Linked DNA regions of Drosophila melanogaster. The protein of the gene in region 4 purifies or fractionates together with the protein of the main gene of each other region. This does not show direct contact. Each region holds a gene or a part of one and is shown on either strand. Other genes may lie near its edges.

Region 1 (5,322 bases), on a different chromosome or scaffold from region 4:
CAAGTCCAAGAGTCAGCTAAAGATCATTCAAAGGGAGGACAAAGAGGATGAACAGGAGCAGGAACCGGAGCAAACAGAAGGGCGTCCCAAGTTGCGTCTACTGCCCACGGAATTCTTTGAGGCCCTACCAGCTCCCAAGCAGAACAAGCGATTAAATCTGGGAGCCACCTTGAACTCACTGCTATTTCCGGAACCCTTCTCCAGCAAGGCCACCATGGCCAAGGCTAGTCTGTCCCAAAAACCCAAGTCTGTTGAAGAGTCCGAGCCCGAGGAGGATGTGCAACCGGTGCCAAGTGCTAGAAGGCGTCACTCCAGGCTAGGTCACGTGGCCAACGACTTTTTGCAGGCCCAAAAAGAGCTTGGAAAGCATTTCCTCAGCCACATCAACGAGCATGAACACGAGTTTTCTCTAGGAGATGAGGGCATGCGGGAAAGTTCCCTGGAGTCGGCGAATGTCGGTAGGAAGTCCCTCATACAGGATCATTTTGAGGGAAAGAAGGCAACGCCTACTCTTCATTCGAAATTGCCTCAAAAGCCAGCCGATGAGGGTATCACTTCCTGGTGGGATTTACCAGCTATGAGAAGGCGGCGTGCCGTACTTAACACTAATTCCCTGGCTGAACTGCCCTCCAATGCCATAGACAAGGCAGATCGCGATGAGATGATGCCGCTGGGAAGGTACACCTACTACGAGTACAAGATGGATCACGAGGCAGAGAAGGATGCCAGCCAGCCCAGGGAGGAAAAGGAATCCAAGATCATGAGGATCAGCAGCAAGAATTCGCTGGCCTCTGGTCGTAGTCTGACTAAACTCTCCGAAAGCCTCGTGAGCACTATGAAATCAAAGGTATCTCGCTTCATCAACATCATATCCAACCATATGAACGAATGGTACAACACCTTAACCAAGCACTTGGAAACGGATGCGGAAACCCAACCACCCCGCCGACAAAACAGCATTGAGAAGTAGAATGACTTATATTACCATATGACCTTGTTTAAACTGCCAGCATTATAACCGAATGTAAATATATATTTATTTTCAAACATTACTGCATTCAAAGGAATTATATTTGAGCGATAATTCTAAGGGAATTATATTTTTCAAATAAAGCTATATACAGGACTAAGGCAACGAACTAGACGGGCTTAGACTAAGCTTGTGGTAGATTGTTGAGCATTCTTTATTGTACTTGTGAATATGTCATCTCTATAATAAAATGCATTGAATTGAAAAGAATGTTGATATATTTCAGTGGTATCTCGGTTAATGATATATGAAATGAAAAATAAAATAGATTTTTATCTGACATGTTTATACAATTACCCGTAGTACTTCAAATAGTAATAAAGTCTTGGTCATTAAAAAAGTTAATTACTATCCATTATTATTTTCTACATTATTTCAAGCTCATCATTCGAGCTGCATAACTAGAAAAGAAGCTTTGCGAAGCCCCCGACAGGTGGCTTTCTAGACACACTTTCTTGGAATCCACTACCCAGATCTTTCTCTTACCGCTGGTAACTATGTATTATAGTTTGGCTCCACTCTGTGCTCGCTCTTTCGCTGCGAGTGAACCGTTCATGAAGACGATCCCAAAGAGGAGCCCGGAAAGCCGCTTGGCTAACCTGTTACCATGGCTATAAGTGCAATAACAAAATCACCGCGACCACGGCAATACCAAACCGGTGGAGACGATCGCGCATTCTCCGCAGCCTCGGCTTTATAATCGGAATTCCGACTTCAGTCTCCGATTAGTCGTTCAAGGCGAAGGTTGTGGCACTAGCTCTTGGATCCACCAATTCCATTTCGCAGCGCAGATATAGTCCAAAGTGCAGGTCAGCAGAAGTTGGAATAAATTATAGATCAGCCAACAGCCAAAACAGGTGAGTTTGCACTAAAAAACTCGTCTCCGACTGGCAAAAGTTGAGGAACAAAACCCAAAAACGGGTCACTTCTAGACTTTTTCATACATCTATAGATCTTGTTTCTTTTCGAGACTGCATTGTAGGGCGTGGTTCGGTTGGGGGGGTTCTTAAATGGTGCATGCAAGCGTAACCAGAGCCAGTCTTCGAGTCTTGAGGAAAGCTCTTGGAAATCTTTGTGACGTGGACGGTGGGGGAAAAAAAAAACAAACAGAGAAGAAAAAACCAGAAACTCAAAACGACATGAAACTTCAGACTTTCTTTCTTGTTCAACCTTCTTTCGTTTGGGCTGTCAATGAACTTGGTTGAATGTTATTTTTTTCGGCGTTTCATCATAATAAGCCATAATTACGCACATGTGTGAAAGTGAAAGTGTAAGTTTTCTCAACAGTTTTCGAAATTGATTTATTGACAGTCACTGATAAACGATTTGAATTGTGAAAACCTTCGCCGACTAACCAATATCCCCAAAACCATGAAACCCCAAAACCCAAAACCAAACTCGTTTCGTTATGCCCTAAGACAATCGTCTGGCTTTGGCAGCTTCGGTTATTATATAATCTGATTTGCATGTTGACACCGATATATACGTATATGAAGATACAATATATAGTATACACACCTCGGCATATTTGTAGGATGGGTTTCATCTTCGGTTGGCTGTCGACCGAGCACTATGTGCGCGACATCTTCCTCATGACTTCAGTGGCCGCCATAGTGGCCACCCTGATGAGCATTCGGTTCTATCTGCGCATCACGGCGGGACGATGTTTCACCGAGGTAACGAACGCACCTCACCCAATCCAAAAAACCAAGTCCCATGCTCCCCAGAATCGCGACACGACTCGAATATTTCGCACTTTATATGGCTGTTGCTCCCACTTCCGCTGCGAATTCTTTTCAGATCTTGTAGATGAGCTGTCATATACATACAAATGATGGTGGGATAGTTTACTAAAACAGTATTCGGACACGACCTTAAGCTTATTAATCGCTCAAAACTTTTACAAATTTTATATATTCATATAAATGCGAACTATTCAGATAAACATTACAGATCCATAATTGAAAATGGTTCAGCTTACCGCTCTATAGAAAACTACATATATCACTATCTGGAAAAACCCCATATAATTAAAACGATTCTGTAGCATTCCAAGCATTCCGACTATGGAAATCTTTTAACTATATATGAAATCACCACTAGGAAAACTTAACGTGTTTCAATCTTGTTATTACATTGGTCAGTTGTGACGCGTCGACTTAATTACAGATTAAATTAGATACCTTCTGAGAGGCGAGGTACGTCACATCTCTGAGCTACGATTACCACCTGACCGAACATTGTTCGTATCCCACAAAACATCTAAGCTTCTGGGTATCTCGGTTACAATCTGTGAGATCGCTTACCTCTGATTCACAGAAAGCTCTCAGCACTCGAATGGCAATTAAGCGACCCGTTAATGGGTCTGAAAACTAAGATAGCTTCCGTTCCAGACGAACTGCGATTACTGTGACTGTGAACAAGCGCCAACTAATTAGTATTGTAAACATATTTTCGAACCGCCCTCGTCCAATTTTCGATTGCAGCGCCGTATTAAATGATTAACCTTCGACATTGATTACAGACAAAGATGGAGGGCAAGACAGTCATTATCACAGGCGCCAACAGCGGAATTGGCAAGGAGACGGCCAAGGATCTGGCTGGACGTGGAGCCCGCATCATCATGGCCTGCAGGAACCTGGAGACTGCCAATGCAGTGAAGGGTAAGTGGACCAAGACAATGCCTATGAGGTTATGCCAAGGATCTGGCAGGACATGCAACACGGTCAAATTCCGATAACTGGTCTCATCCAGTTGATTATAGACTCTGGCAAAAACTGCTTACTACCAATGATCTTTTTTTATTAAATATTTACGTTGTAATTACTTTAAAGAAAGTATCTTATAATATGTTGGCGTTGCATTAACCATGTTTTTTTTTACATAACCGAATTTTGTAATTTATTGTTGATTTCCCACAGATGAGATCGTCAAGGAGACGAAGAACAACAAGATCCTAGTCAAGAAACTGGATCTGGGCTCCCAGAAGTCCGTCCGTGAGTTCGCCGCTGACATTGTGAAGACCGAGCCCAAGATCGATGTGCTTATCCACAATGCCGGCATGGCTCTGGCCTTCCGCGGACAGACGAGTGAGGATGGCGTGGAGCTGACCATGGCCACCAATCACTATGGACCCTTCCTGCTGACGCATCTGCTCATCGATGTACTAAAGAAGAGCGCGCCGGCTCGCATAGTCATCGTAGCCTCGGAGCTGTACCGCCTGTCGTCGGTTAACCTGGCCAAGCTCAATCCCATCGGCACTTTCCCGGCTGCCTACTTATACTATGTGTCCAAGTTTGCGAACATCTACTTTGCCCGGGAGCTGGCCAAGCGGCTGGAGGGCACCAAGGTTACAGTGAATTTCCTGCATCCCGGCATGATCGACTCGGGCATTTGGCGTAACGTTCCCTTCCCCCTCAACTTGCCCATGATGGCCATCACCAAGGGATTCTTCAAGACCACCAAGGCCGGCGCCCAGACCACTATCTATTTGGCCACATCCAATGAGGTGGCCAATGTGTCTGGAAAGTACTTCATGGACTGCAAGGAGGCCACCCTTAATGCTGCTGCCCTCGATGAGGAGAAGGGTCTCAAGATCTGGGAGGAGTCCGTGAAGATTGTCAAGCTTACGCCCCAGGATCCCAAAATCTAGACGGGTGTCTGCGGCTGAGAGCCAACGCACAATTTACTGATTTACTTTTCTTGTTTTTAAGGGGGAGTTTACTGTAGCCTAAGTTTTCTCAATAAAAATGATTTTGTATAATTAAATGTGGCTCGTTTTCAATATGATATATTTGCTGTCAGAAAAAAAAGCACATCAAATTTCTGACTATATATAATATATTACAAAGATCTTGGTTGTTATATCGGTTGCTCGTGAGTAAAAGGGTATACTAGAATCAAGACTAGAATATAGTCTGGATCAAGATCAATAGCCGAGTCGATCTGGCCATGTTCCTCTGTCCGTCTGAATGTCGAGATCTCAGGAACTTTAAAAGCTAGAAGGTTGTGATGCAGCATACAGATTCTAGATACATAGACACAGCGCATTCACACTAACTGAGCAACGGGTATCTGTTAGTCGGGGAACTCGACTTCTTATTGGCACAGGATTTCGGCTTGGATTTGCAAGGGGACCGTTTTTGTATTACATGTAATATATATTGACAGTCACTCGATAAATCTTTTGCTAGGTAACTAGATATGACAATTCTGACAAGTTTTGAACTTTTCAACTTATTGCTTCTCGTTATTTATTTTGTAGCTGCAGCTTCTTAGTCAAATGATCTTTA
Region 2 (3,998 bases), on a different chromosome or scaffold from region 4:
TCTCAAAAAATCCGGAAAAATTTTTGTGCCCGAACAGGCCGTCTATATGAAGACTGGCAAGTTCAAGGAGACTGCTCCTACCGACGACGACTGGTTCTACACTCGCTGCGCCTCTATTATGAGACACCTGTACCTGCGCAGTCCCGCCGGCGTTGGGGCCTTCACCAAGGTCTATAGCGGGCGCAAGCGCAACGGTGTTCGTCCGTCCAAGCACTGTCGCTCATCGGATGGCTGTATTCGCAAGGTGAGTGGGAAATGGTTGTACTTTAAGGTTATATTTAATATTACTTAGCATGTATCTAACACATGAGCAGGCTCTTCAAGCCTTGGAAGCTGCTAACATGGTGGAGAGGCACCCGGATGGTGGTCGTAAGCTGACTCCGCAAGGACAACGTAACTTGGATCGCATAGCCAACAAGATTGTGGCCAAGCAGCGAGAGCGCAGTGCACCAGTTTCCATGATTATCACTACCTAAGATGATAATACCAATACCACGATGGATCATCTTTGAGTGCCTTGGGTTTTCAAAACATTCTCAATAAATCGAAACCAAAAATAAAATTAAACAATTATATACATAATAAAATAACTTAATACTTGAAATATAAACGATTCGAAACTTTATTTTTGACACAAACACGCCGAATAGCAAGAATCCAAGTTATAAAATGTTAGCTAGACCACAAATCTCCCGATTTTTGGTTGCCAGGAGCTCTGAAACCGCGAACTATGACCTCGGCCTGCCACCAACCGCTGGTTTCATTTGCTGCTTTCAAAACGTCATGCTCTTCGTTGGTCTGGCTAACGTCTTCCCCAGATTTATCCAGATTCCGCACGCCAAGATCGTGGTAAATATCCATCTCCTTGCAGCAGCGTAATTCATTCGGTGTGTTTTCACTGCAATGCAGTAGATGCAGGTGTATGTTCTTGCAGCTGCGCGGAAGTTGGCTTAATATATGCTTTGGGATTAGATTAAAGGAGTCACAATGGGATCCTTGGGGTCGATCGGAGTCTGTAAGGAGCTCCATTTCTAGAAACACGTTGGTGACTTTTAGTTCGGTGGAGAATAGCCTGTACAGCTCCTCGCAGGTGAGCAGGCGGAGCAGCGCCTGGTTGATGCGACCTTCGGGCAGAGCATGGTGCTCGCAATAGTGATCTCTGGATATGGAATCATGTGGTATGTGCAGAGTATAGGCCTCCGAGGGCATGAACATATTGTTGCCAAAAAGAAATCGCAGGCTCTTCACTTCAGAGCTCCTGAAGGCTTGTCGGATGATCTGTAGGAGAGAACTGGCAAGTAAAGACCAAAAGAAGTCCTGGATGTAAGGGGAACCTCACCTCTCTCATGTCACTAATAGATTCCTTGGTGGCCTTTGCCTTAGAGCGCTGCTGGTTGCGTTGGTAATGAGCAAAGGACTCCTGATCCTTGGATTCTCCCGATTCATCAGCATCTGACCATTTATCCACATAATATTTGTATGTTTTGTACACGAAGGGGATTTGCCGGCGTTGATAGAGCAAGAAGTCCAGGATGCCATTCACGAACTCCGCTGTTGTCCCACTGGTCAGAACCTCAATGTTATCCAGTTTAAGATCAACATTCTTGACATTTTGATCCATTAAAAGGTCGCAATATAACAAATTTAAACAAATGCTCTTTTCGCACTAATTGCAAACGTTGCCAGACTGAAACATTCAGTTTGTTTACAGTAATCGATAAGTATATAAAACAGTGACTTTTAAAATTTGCTTTTTTCAAGTCTTGAATTCATTTATATTTTGGTTGTTAATCATTACTATTGTTTTAATCCGATTGCTTAAGCATTTCTTGCCTATTTTAATTTTCACGTTTTTTTAAAATATTTGTTCACCCTTAGAGTTGCCAGACCTTCATGTTTCCATAGTACGGCAACACAGCTAACGCGAATGACTAGTAATTTTGTTGCCGACAATAAAGAGTAAAAAGTTCATCAAACGTTCGGCAAAGCAGCAAGCACCAAGACAAAATGGTAAAATAGCACCTTCAGAACACCCTGAACTCATTTACGATCGGGAACAATACATTTGCAGGGACAAAACCAATCGGCTCAAGGGGGAGCTGGCGAAAAGAAAGATGACAAGGATAAAAAGAAGAAGTACGAGCCTCCAATCCCAACGCGCGTTGGCAAGAAGAAGAGGCGCGCAAAGGGTCCAGATGCGGCCATGAAGCTGCCCCAGGTCACGCCCCACACCCGCTGCCGCCTTAAGCTGCTCAAGCTGGAGCGCATCAAGGATTACCTGATGATGGAGGACGAGTTCATCCGCAACCAGGAGCGCCTGAAGCCCCAGGACGAGAAGAACGAGGAGGAGCGCTCTAAGGTTGACGATCTGCGCGGCACCCCCATGTCCGTGGGCAACCTGGAGGAGATCATCGACGACAACCACGCCATCGTGTCCACATCGGTGGGCTCCGAGCACTATGTTAGCATCCTGTCCTTCGTGGACAAGGATCAGCTGGAACCAGGCTGCTCCGTGCTGCTCAACCACAAAGTACACGCTGTAGTCGGAGTTCTCAGCGACGACACCGATCCAATGGTCACGGTGATGAAACTGGAAAAGGCTCCGCAAGAGACTTACGCAGATATCGGTGGCTTAGACACTCAGATCCAGGAGATCAAGGAGTCTGTTGAGCTGCCACTGACCCATCCCGAGTACTACGAGGAAATGGGAATCAAGCCACCCAAGGGCGTCATCCTATATGGGCCTCCTGGTACGGGCAAGACCCTGCTAGCCAAGGCAGTGGCCAACCAGACCTCGGCCACTTTCCTGCGCGTTGTAGGCTCAGAGCTGATCCAGAAGTACCTGGGCGACGGACCCAAGCTAGTTCGTGAGCTCTTCCGTGTGGCTGAGGAGCACGCTCCATCCATTGTGTTCATCGACGAAATCGATGCAGTGGGCACAAAGCGCTACGATTCAAATTCTGGTGGCGAGCGGGAGATTCAGCGTACTATGTTGGAGTTACTGAATCAGTTGGATGGTTTCGATTCGCGCGGCGATGTCAAGGTGATCATGGCCACCAATCGTATCGAGACCCTTGACCCGGCGCTCATTCGACCCGGTCGTATTGACCGCAAGATCGAGTTCCCGCTGCCCGATGAGAAGACCAAGCGCCGCATCTTTACCATCCACACATCTCGCATGACGCTGGCCGAGGACGTGAACCTTAGCGAACTGATCATGGCAAAGGACGATCTATCCGGCGCCGACATCAAGGCCATCTGTACAGAGGCTGGCTTGATGGCGCTGCGGGAACGCCGCATGAAGGTGACCAACGAGGACTTCAAGAAGTCAAAGGAGAGCGTCTTGTACCGGAAGAAGGAGGGCACGCCCGAGGGTCTTTATTTATAAGTCGCGCGAAGATATACTTTCAAGTTAATTTTGATAATTCCCAAACACATGCATTAAACCACATTAACACTAGAATCGCTCCCCGATGTGAATAAATTCGTAGTTGCCGGGAGTTGCTGTGCCAGTTTTCCTAGGAGGTCGTCCACGTAGGTCTTTTGTTTTTCGGATATAACGTTGAGTGGAGCGCCTTGATGCTCCAAATATGTGAAGTGTGCTTTATTTGTTGCATCTGCCAGTTGGAGTTTTTGATAAGCTTCTCGTTCTGCATTCCATTCGGAGCTTTCAGCTCCCGCCGCATTGCTTATGGTTTCATAGAAGGCACTCAGTTTGGCCAGTTCGAATCCAGTTTTAAAGCCATTCTCAAAGCCTTCATCGAAGCTCTCTTGGAAGACCTTTTCCCTGCCATCGGCAACGCCATCTGCATAGCTTATCTTGATAGGGAAAGGGTATTTAGAAGTCGTGTTTACTCGGCAATGTAAAGCCAGCTGATTTCATCATGAAAGCTGGCCACGCCAAATTCATTTTAAACTTACCTTTGCCACCTTTTCCTGCACACGATGATAATTAGTCGAGCTGATCTCTTTAAACTCAGTTTCATCATCAGAATCCC
Region 3 (3,870 bases), on a different chromosome or scaffold from region 4:
GCAGCATACAGGAACAGCGATCCTCATTGTTCATCCAAGAGGAATCTAAAGAGGCAGAGCGCAATCAGCAGGTAGAAACAGAGGACTCTCATCTAGCCGCCAGTGAAGCAGCACTCCTGAGGCCTCGTCCGCGTCCAGGCAATCTTCGATTGCCCACTGGCTCCATTTCATCAATGAGGAACCTCGGCAACGATCAGTGGAAGGTTGTGCGGGGCAATTTCTTTATGATCTGCGGCGCGAACATAACCTGCGCCTGCGCCAGGAGTCCCAATGGCATCTCCCGTTACAGTCATCTGGGTGATGGTTGCCTGGACCTGATTCTCGTGAAAAAGACCTCACTGCTCAACAACGTGCGTTTTCTGCTCAACACGGCGGGCAGAAGTGGTGATATTGTGAGTACTAACTATTACAACTATTCAACTTTCACATCCAAAAGAACACCTTTCCTATAAGAGGCGTCCATTTCCTTTGAAATAACATTTCCATAACATTTTAACTGCATCTTTAATTGCCAAATCCCCTAAGCCTACAAGCTGAGCTTAGTGCTTTCTATCCTAAAAGCCAAAAACCCAAAACCGAACCCCATCTAGCTCGGATTGAAGCGAGGGAAATCTGTGACAGAAAGGTTATTTTACGAAGATCTACTAGCCGCTCTGGTGGCATCCATATAAAGTATATACTTGACCAGTTTCAACAATATAATGTTTTATCTAGTGAATGCGATGGTATCTTTTACTGTAAAAATATAAATGAAAAATAAAAGGATACAATTAAATTTTGTAGAAAACAATAAATATTTAAAAACATTTTCCCATTGCAGCGCAATTTGCCTTTTGTAGAGGTATATCGCACAAGGGAATTCCGGTTCAGAACTTTTTCTGCCAGCGAGGAGGACTACAGCTTGGCAGGGTCTTGTCAGCCGATTACACCGCCTGAAGAAATGACCGCCCACTCCTCCTCGACGGAGTTTTCCAGCTGGAACTGTGATGGAGAGGTGGTGACCGACCTGGACATAACCATGCGGTGAGTTGGTTGTACCTTTAACTTCAATAAATCGCTTATTAACCGTTCCGTATCTGGCAGATCGCATTGTCAGCTCATCGAGGTCTTCATGCGGGGTCCCCATTCCTACAGCAAGCCCCTCAAGGGCGGCACCACGCCCACAACCCCAGCTAGCTCTAGCGACAATGTTTACTGCTGCTGCAAGGACTAGAAGCTTTAACCCCATAGAATTAGCATCAATCGTTGGCCGTGACATGTAGCTCTTAGTTTTGCGTAGGGTATCCTTATTCGTATATGTATCGTGTTAAAGAGCGGGTCTCCCCGTCATTGTTTTTAGCATAGCTCAATAAAGCAACTGATATTATCGACTGTATTATGGCATCTGAAAGATGCGGCAGCAACCTAAACATTCCCCTCGGAAGCATTATGCACATACCTATATATTTACAAATTGTGTACTGGTATACTGGCAATAAAAATGTATTTATATGTCTTCAAATTTATAATTCTTTATTATTAATTTATATGATCAAATGTTATGATAAAAAACTTCGTTGGGTTCCCAAAAACAACAATCCGGAACATGTGCGTTTTTCCCACCAATATGAATAAAAGCAGAAGTTTTAGCAAAAGAACCTTATTCCGCTTAAAAAGCTATGGAGAATCGTGTTCGAAGGGAGAGAAGGGAGATATTGGATTTGTAGATTGACCAGGATAATTTCCAAACGTCATTTACATTTATTGCTCTCGATTCTTATACTTTAATGACCATTGAACGGCTTAAAATGAAGTAAAGCAAATGGTCATTATATATTAACTAAACATATATTTAGTTTCAAGGAGTAGTAAATACCGTAGAAGCAACGGGTATACATGAGTCTTAATCCTAATTGAGTGAAAAGTTCTTTAATTTCTTATCTTTCTTCTCCTTGATTTGTATTATCAACGAGGATTATAAAGACAAAAGTAAAAAAACAAATTCAGTATAGGCAGCGTGGTGTTAACTGTTTTACATTACTTTTAACATCAACATCTAATAAAATGTTAAAAAGTTCACAATTAAACTTCAAATTAATTTAATTTAACACATGTAAAACGGTGTGACCAAGCTAATAGTGGATTCATCTTTGGTATGTCTGGTATTTTTAGCTACCGGTTGCCGATACTGGTATTGCCGCCCGCCTAAAGTCTGTTCACACTGCGCTGACTCTTGATTTTATTTGTGCCCGTCATTCTCCGGCAGCGACAAACATTTCAAAGTCTCGCGTTATTCCAGTCTCCGAATAAATTAGCATGTTGAACAACTACAACAGCCTAGCGCAGCCCATGTGGCAGAACGGACCCGCTCCCGGCGAGTTCTACAACTTCACGGGCGGACAGACGCCGGTCCAGCAGCTACCGCGGGAGCTGACCACAATGGGACCCTATGGAACCAAGCACAGCACGTAGGAACTGCGGATATGTTTATATGCAGATGTACCACTTGTTTACACTCCTTTTACTATTCCGCAGTGCTTCCAGCACCACGGGCACTTCCGTGCTTGGCATTCGCTATGATTCAGGAGTGATGCTGGCCGCCGACACCCTGGTGTCTTACGGATCCATGGCCCGCTACCAAAACATTGAGCGCGTCTTTAAGGTCAACAAGAACATCCTGCTCGGCGGGAGCGGCGACTTCGCTGACATCCAGTCCATCAAGCGCAACATCGACCAGAAGATGATCGAGGACCAGTGCTGCGACGACAACATCGAGATGAAGCCCAAGTCCTTGGCCAGTTGGATGACCCGTGTGCTCTACAACCGTCGTTCGCGGATGAACCCCCTCTACATTGACGTGGTTGTCGGCGGCGTGGACAACGAGGGGACTCCGTACCTGGCCAACGTGGATCTCCGTGGACGATCCTACGAGGACTACGTGGTGGCCACTGGTTTTGCCCGCCATTTGGCCGTTCCGCTGGTCCGTGAGAAGAAGCCCAAGGACAGGGACTTTACCGCCGTAGAAGCTTCCGAACTGGTAAGGAATTTCGAACTCTGATGGGGGGACTCTTCATTATTTAACTACCCTACCATTTTCTTATATTCTAGATCCGCACATGCATGGAGGTGCTTTACTACCGCGATACTCGTAATATTTCCCAATACACTGTGGGCGTGTGCAGCGTCAACGGATGCGGCGTGGAGGGGCCCTTCCAAGTTAACGAAAACTGGACATTCGCCGAAACCATAAAGGGATACTAGAGCCTCCGATTCTGAATGAACTTAGTTTAGGTCTAGCTCGGCGGTTTTGCATTAAAAAAAAACACTTGTCTAAGGATATGTGGTTACATGATTTATTAAAAATAAATGTGGCTGAAAATAATACGTTTAAAGTTATGGTTATTGTGTGATAGAAACTATCTTCGAGTTATTCTTTCGTTAATCTCTACTGATGGAATCAAAAAGTAGGCGTCAAACTAAGAAGCCCAAGGGAGTTTCCAAATCTAACTTGGACTCACCATTACGGTCTTACGTTCCTTATTTTCCCAAATTATAACCATCAATTATCATTAAAAGTTTTATTTTAGTGGATTTGTTGGTTATTCCTCCCGGCATTCAACTTATTAATTAATATGCAAACACTCCTGACAAACATATTTTGGTTTATTTTAATTAACATAAAATCTGGCTAAATATACAGATAATCAATTTGATCCAAAGGGGAATTTCGCAAAGGATAACTGCTTGGAATACGTGTCTTAAGTCGCCCATGCGCCTCCTAATCTCCGCCAGCTGCAAACCGAACCCCTTGTTAGTTTAGCATGGTATGCCTGTCGTAGATGTGGCGTCTCTGCTCGCGCACCTGCCGCTTCCACTTGTCCTGCTGGTGGC
Region 4 (3,281 bases):
ACCATATCGGCGCATTGCCGCTCGGAAAAACTGGCCGGCGGTCTGGGTCTGAGCATGATGTCCAAGGGCGTTATTGTTATCACAGTGGGCCAGCTGCTGGGATGGGTGCGAGACTACGCCGACTCCTACCTAATCTGCCTTTATGCTCAAGGAGTCATTCTGCTGGTGGTGGTTCTTGTTTGGACACCGGAGATATTGTACCGCCACCGCAGGCAGCGATGTGCCACCAACAAGTCCATGGAGACGCAGTCTATAGACGCAGCTGAAGTGGCCAAACTCAACTCCTAAATCTCTGGTCACTACCTGACTGGATAAGAGTTTAAGCGAAGGATATCGGTATTGACTGTCATGTGATAGGCGATGAAATGACTTCCCCGTAGGGAACATTCCACTCTCGCCGCAGTAGTTATCTGAGTTGTGAGGAAGGACCAGTGTCAGGAACAGCACTATCTGTATGACTATGCATCTTAGGTTTAGGTTTTCGATTATTTATTACCATTTTAGCCCCTAGACCTAACTTTTGTACTGCCATAAGAGCCAAAATACAAATTAAAGTATGCATATTACAAAAACCAGGTTTATTAGCATGAGACGAGTTTGCAACTCTTTCTCTGATCGATCTTACTTGGGTAGGTATACTATTTATTCCGAGGAAATGAAGCTGGGAGTGCTGGAAACAGCCGATGCGCCCGATTCTGTGTTGTAGAAGATGCGTCGCTCGATGCCATCCTTGGTGATGATGCCAATGCGCACCACACCACCGGAGCTGCCATCGTGGTAGATAGCGTGCTGGACAGCTGTTGGAGGAGGTTTAAATGGGATTCGATTGAAGGGAAACTGTTTTGGTTTTTTTGGGATTACCTACCCTTCTTGACGAATGTAACGCAATCCTCCAGCGCCATATTGGGGCGGTAGTGCTCCCTAACAAATCCGTAGATAAAACTAGATCCCGATCCGCCGATGGTGCAGGACTCGCGGGTCAGCATGCCGCCCAACGGGATGCTGTACACCTGGCCGCCGCGCTGCTCATCCCACCCAGCCACAATGATGCCGGCAAGCAGGGACTCGCGGTAGCTGTAGCAGTAATTACGGAACTCTGAGGCGGCCTCGAACACCAGAGCATCCTTGTTGGTCTGATTCTCGTGATAGTTCAGCGAGTAGGCCACAATGTCGGCAATGGCCTGGGTGTCGGCGGCCGAGCCACTGCGGCAGCAGTACACTTTGTCCGTGATGCGGGTCAGCTTGTCGGTGACCCGATTGGCAACATAGGCGCCCGAGCTGGTGCGCGAATCGGCTCCAATGACCACTCCGCCATCGAACTCCACTGCCATAATGGTGGTCTGCAAATAGGTAGGATTGTGCTCTTAGTACGAAGTTATGTGGCTGATGCTCTTCATACTTACACCAGTGCTGACCGGTGTGTCGGTGAAATCAAAGTCGGGCTGCATATTGATCTTTAAATTTGTTACAATTCAATTTACAATTGATATTTGTTGAAACGCCGCACGAACACGAAATGACTGGCTTGTTTTGGATAAGTGTTACCAGATGGCGATGTGAAATGAAATGCTTCAAATGAAAACATACACCTTTCGCACTGACAACAGTTCAGTAAAGTAAAAACGAAGTGCCAGCAGCCCTGCTTTGCGGTATATCGATAGTATCGATGTGGGTTCATTGCACATGTTGAATTTGTTTTGAATATTTGTTTTCTTGAATTAAGTCTAAAATGGCATACGTTGCACTGAGCGAAGCTGAAAAAACATATATTCTACACGGCGTGGAGGTGTGTTAAACGGTTATGCAAGAAATATAGTCTGTACCTTAAACTATGCGTTTCCAGGATGACTTTCGTTGCGATGGACGTTCACGACGAGATTACCGGCCCATGGACCTGGAAACTGGACTGGTTAGCAATGCCAGTGGATCCGCTCGCCTTCGGCTGGCGAACACAGACATACTGGTGGGCGTCAAAACCGAGATTGATGTACCCAACCCGCTGACGCCCGAGTTTGGTAAACTGGAATTTTTTGTGGATTGGTAATGATGCAACTGAAGTTCGAAGAATATGCCATAACATATATATTTCAGCTCTGCTAATGCCACGCCGGAGTTTGAAGGACGCGGGGGCTCGGATCTGGCCCAAGAACTTATTCTCTCCCTGCAGAACGCCTACGAATCGCCATTGGCCTTCAACTACCGCACGTTGTGCCTCATTCCGGGTCAGCAGTGCTGGAAGCTGTACATAGACATCCTGGTTAGACTCTAGTGTGCTTAATTATACCGAAAATGCTAATCCCTGTTCTCGCAGATTCTGGAGTGTGGCGGCAATCTACACGACGCAGTGTCGCTGGCCGCCAAAGCGGCTCTGTTCAACACAAAGCTGCCCCGGGTGACAGCCACCATGTTGGATGCCGGCATCACAGACCTCATCATATCGGACAATCCGTATGACTGCACCCGCATCGGCATCGAGACGGTTCCGCTGTTGGTCACAGTTTGCAAGATCGGTGATTATGTCCTGGTGGATCCTTCGGCGGAGGAGGAAGTCTGCAGCACAGTGAGCATGGTTGTGTCAGTTTCCATGCGGAATGGACAGGCATTCCTTTCGGGTACACACTTGACCGGCGGCGGAGCCATGCACCGGGACACCATGCGCAACTGTCTGGAGCTGGGTCTGGCCATTGGCGAGCATCTGGACCGGCTGCTCACTAAAATGCTAAATCTGGAGCAGCAGCGCGTCGGACTCAAGCGACCGCAAATAGTAGGATTTCTTAAATAAAGCGGCAAAGTCTTGTAATGAAAATTTACTATTTAAACGATCTGACTCTGACTTGGAGCTCGGCGCTCCGATTAAGCTTAATACTAAAAGCTATCTGGTGGCCAACTACTACTGGTCCTTGCGCTTCTTCGCCTGCCTGACGGCCGGAGCAGGCTTCTTCTCCTTGGGCTCGGGCTGCTTGCCCGTTAGCAGTGAAGTCAGCATTTCGCTGATCTCGGGCATATCGTTGCCCATCTGTGGAGCAGAGCATGATTCATATAATACTATAGTGCTGTGCTATACATGATCCTCACGGCTTACCTTTGGGAACTGCAGATTGTCGATCTCCTTCTTTGTCTCGGGATCGTTGATCATCTTGGGCAGCACCAGCATAAGGAGCAGAGGCAAGACCATCATTAGGACCATGGGGCTGAACAAGAAGTCGGTGATCTGTGTGGGTCAAGAGCAAAAGTTAGTTTTGTGATTCTTCCGTTGGTGGCAATATAATGATGCACCTTCC

The links.
Region 1: the proteins of Prosbeta1 (region 4) and CG7675 purify together in Drosophila melanogaster (affinity purification with mass spectrometry, with the first as the bait; one large-scale study listed by BioGRID). This does not show direct contact.
Region 2: the proteins of Prosbeta1 (region 4) and Rpt2 purify together in Drosophila melanogaster (affinity purification with mass spectrometry, with the first as the bait; one large-scale study listed by BioGRID). This does not show direct contact.
Region 3: the proteins of Prosbeta1 (region 4) and Prosbeta7 purify together in Drosophila melanogaster (affinity purification with mass spectrometry, with the first as the bait; one large-scale study listed by BioGRID). This does not show direct contact.

What each region holds. Positions count from the first base shown.
Region 1 is NT_033777.3:18,377,597-18,382,918, reverse strand, and holds CG7675 (uncharacterized protein), read left to right. Parts: upstream 1-1,740; 5' UTR 1,741-1,887; intron 1,888-2,182; exon of another isoform or gene 2,183-2,300; intron 2,301-2,564; 5' UTR 2,565-2,565; coding exon 2,566-2,706; intron 2,707-3,554; coding exon 3,555-3,693; intron 3,694-3,951; coding exon 3,952-4,682; 3' UTR 4,683-4,795; downstream 4,796-5,322. Other genes in the region: CG14309 (uncharacterized protein), read left to right, coding at 1-970.
Region 2 is NT_033777.3:23,929,336-23,933,333, reverse strand, and holds Rpt2 (regulatory particle triple-A ATPase 2), read left to right. Parts: upstream 1-1,775; 5' UTR 1,776-2,007; coding exon 2,008-2,010; intron 2,011-2,071; coding exon 2,072-3,388; 3' UTR 3,389-3,441; downstream 3,442-3,998. Other genes in the region: RpS19b (ribosomal protein S19b), read left to right, coding at 1-244, 315-476; CG13599 (uncharacterized protein), read right to left, coding at 673-1,278, 1,340-1,621; CG31142 (uncharacterized protein), read right to left, coding at 3,442-3,819, 3,922-3,998. UniProt on the Drosophila melanogaster protein: The 26S proteasome is involved in the ATP-dependent degradation of ubiquitinated proteins. The regulatory (or ATPase) complex confers ATP dependency and substrate specificity to the 26S complex.
Region 3 is NT_033777.3:5,356,501-5,360,370, reverse strand, and holds Prosbeta7 (proteasome beta7 subunit), read left to right. Parts: upstream 1-2,006; 5' UTR 2,007-2,295; coding exon 2,296-2,447; intron 2,448-2,514; coding exon 2,515-3,016; intron 3,017-3,087; coding exon 3,088-3,240; 3' UTR 3,241-3,359; downstream 3,360-3,870. Other genes in the region: Cerk (ceramide kinase), read left to right, coding at 1-392, 821-1,023, 1,084-1,213; CG1161 (uncharacterized protein), read right to left, coding at 3,791-3,870. UniProt on the Drosophila melanogaster protein: Non-catalytic component of the proteasome, a multicatalytic proteinase complex which is characterized by its ability to cleave peptides with Arg, Phe, Tyr, Leu, and Glu adjacent to the leaving group at neutral or slightly basic pH.
Region 4 is NT_033778.4:16,013,249-16,016,529, forward strand, and holds Prosbeta1 (proteasome beta1 subunit), read right to left. Parts: upstream 1,540-3,281; 5' UTR 1,449-1,539; coding exon 1,404-1,448; intron 1,341-1,403; coding exon 866-1,340; intron 798-865; coding exon 643-797; 3' UTR 557-642; downstream 1-556. Other genes in the region: CG8389 (uncharacterized protein), read left to right, coding at 1-288; Rrp42, read left to right, coding at 1,730-1,786, 1,844-2,040, 2,092-2,257, 2,312-2,782; EMC7 (ER membrane protein complex subunit 7), read right to left, coding at 2,891-3,016, 3,083-3,211, 3,277-3,281.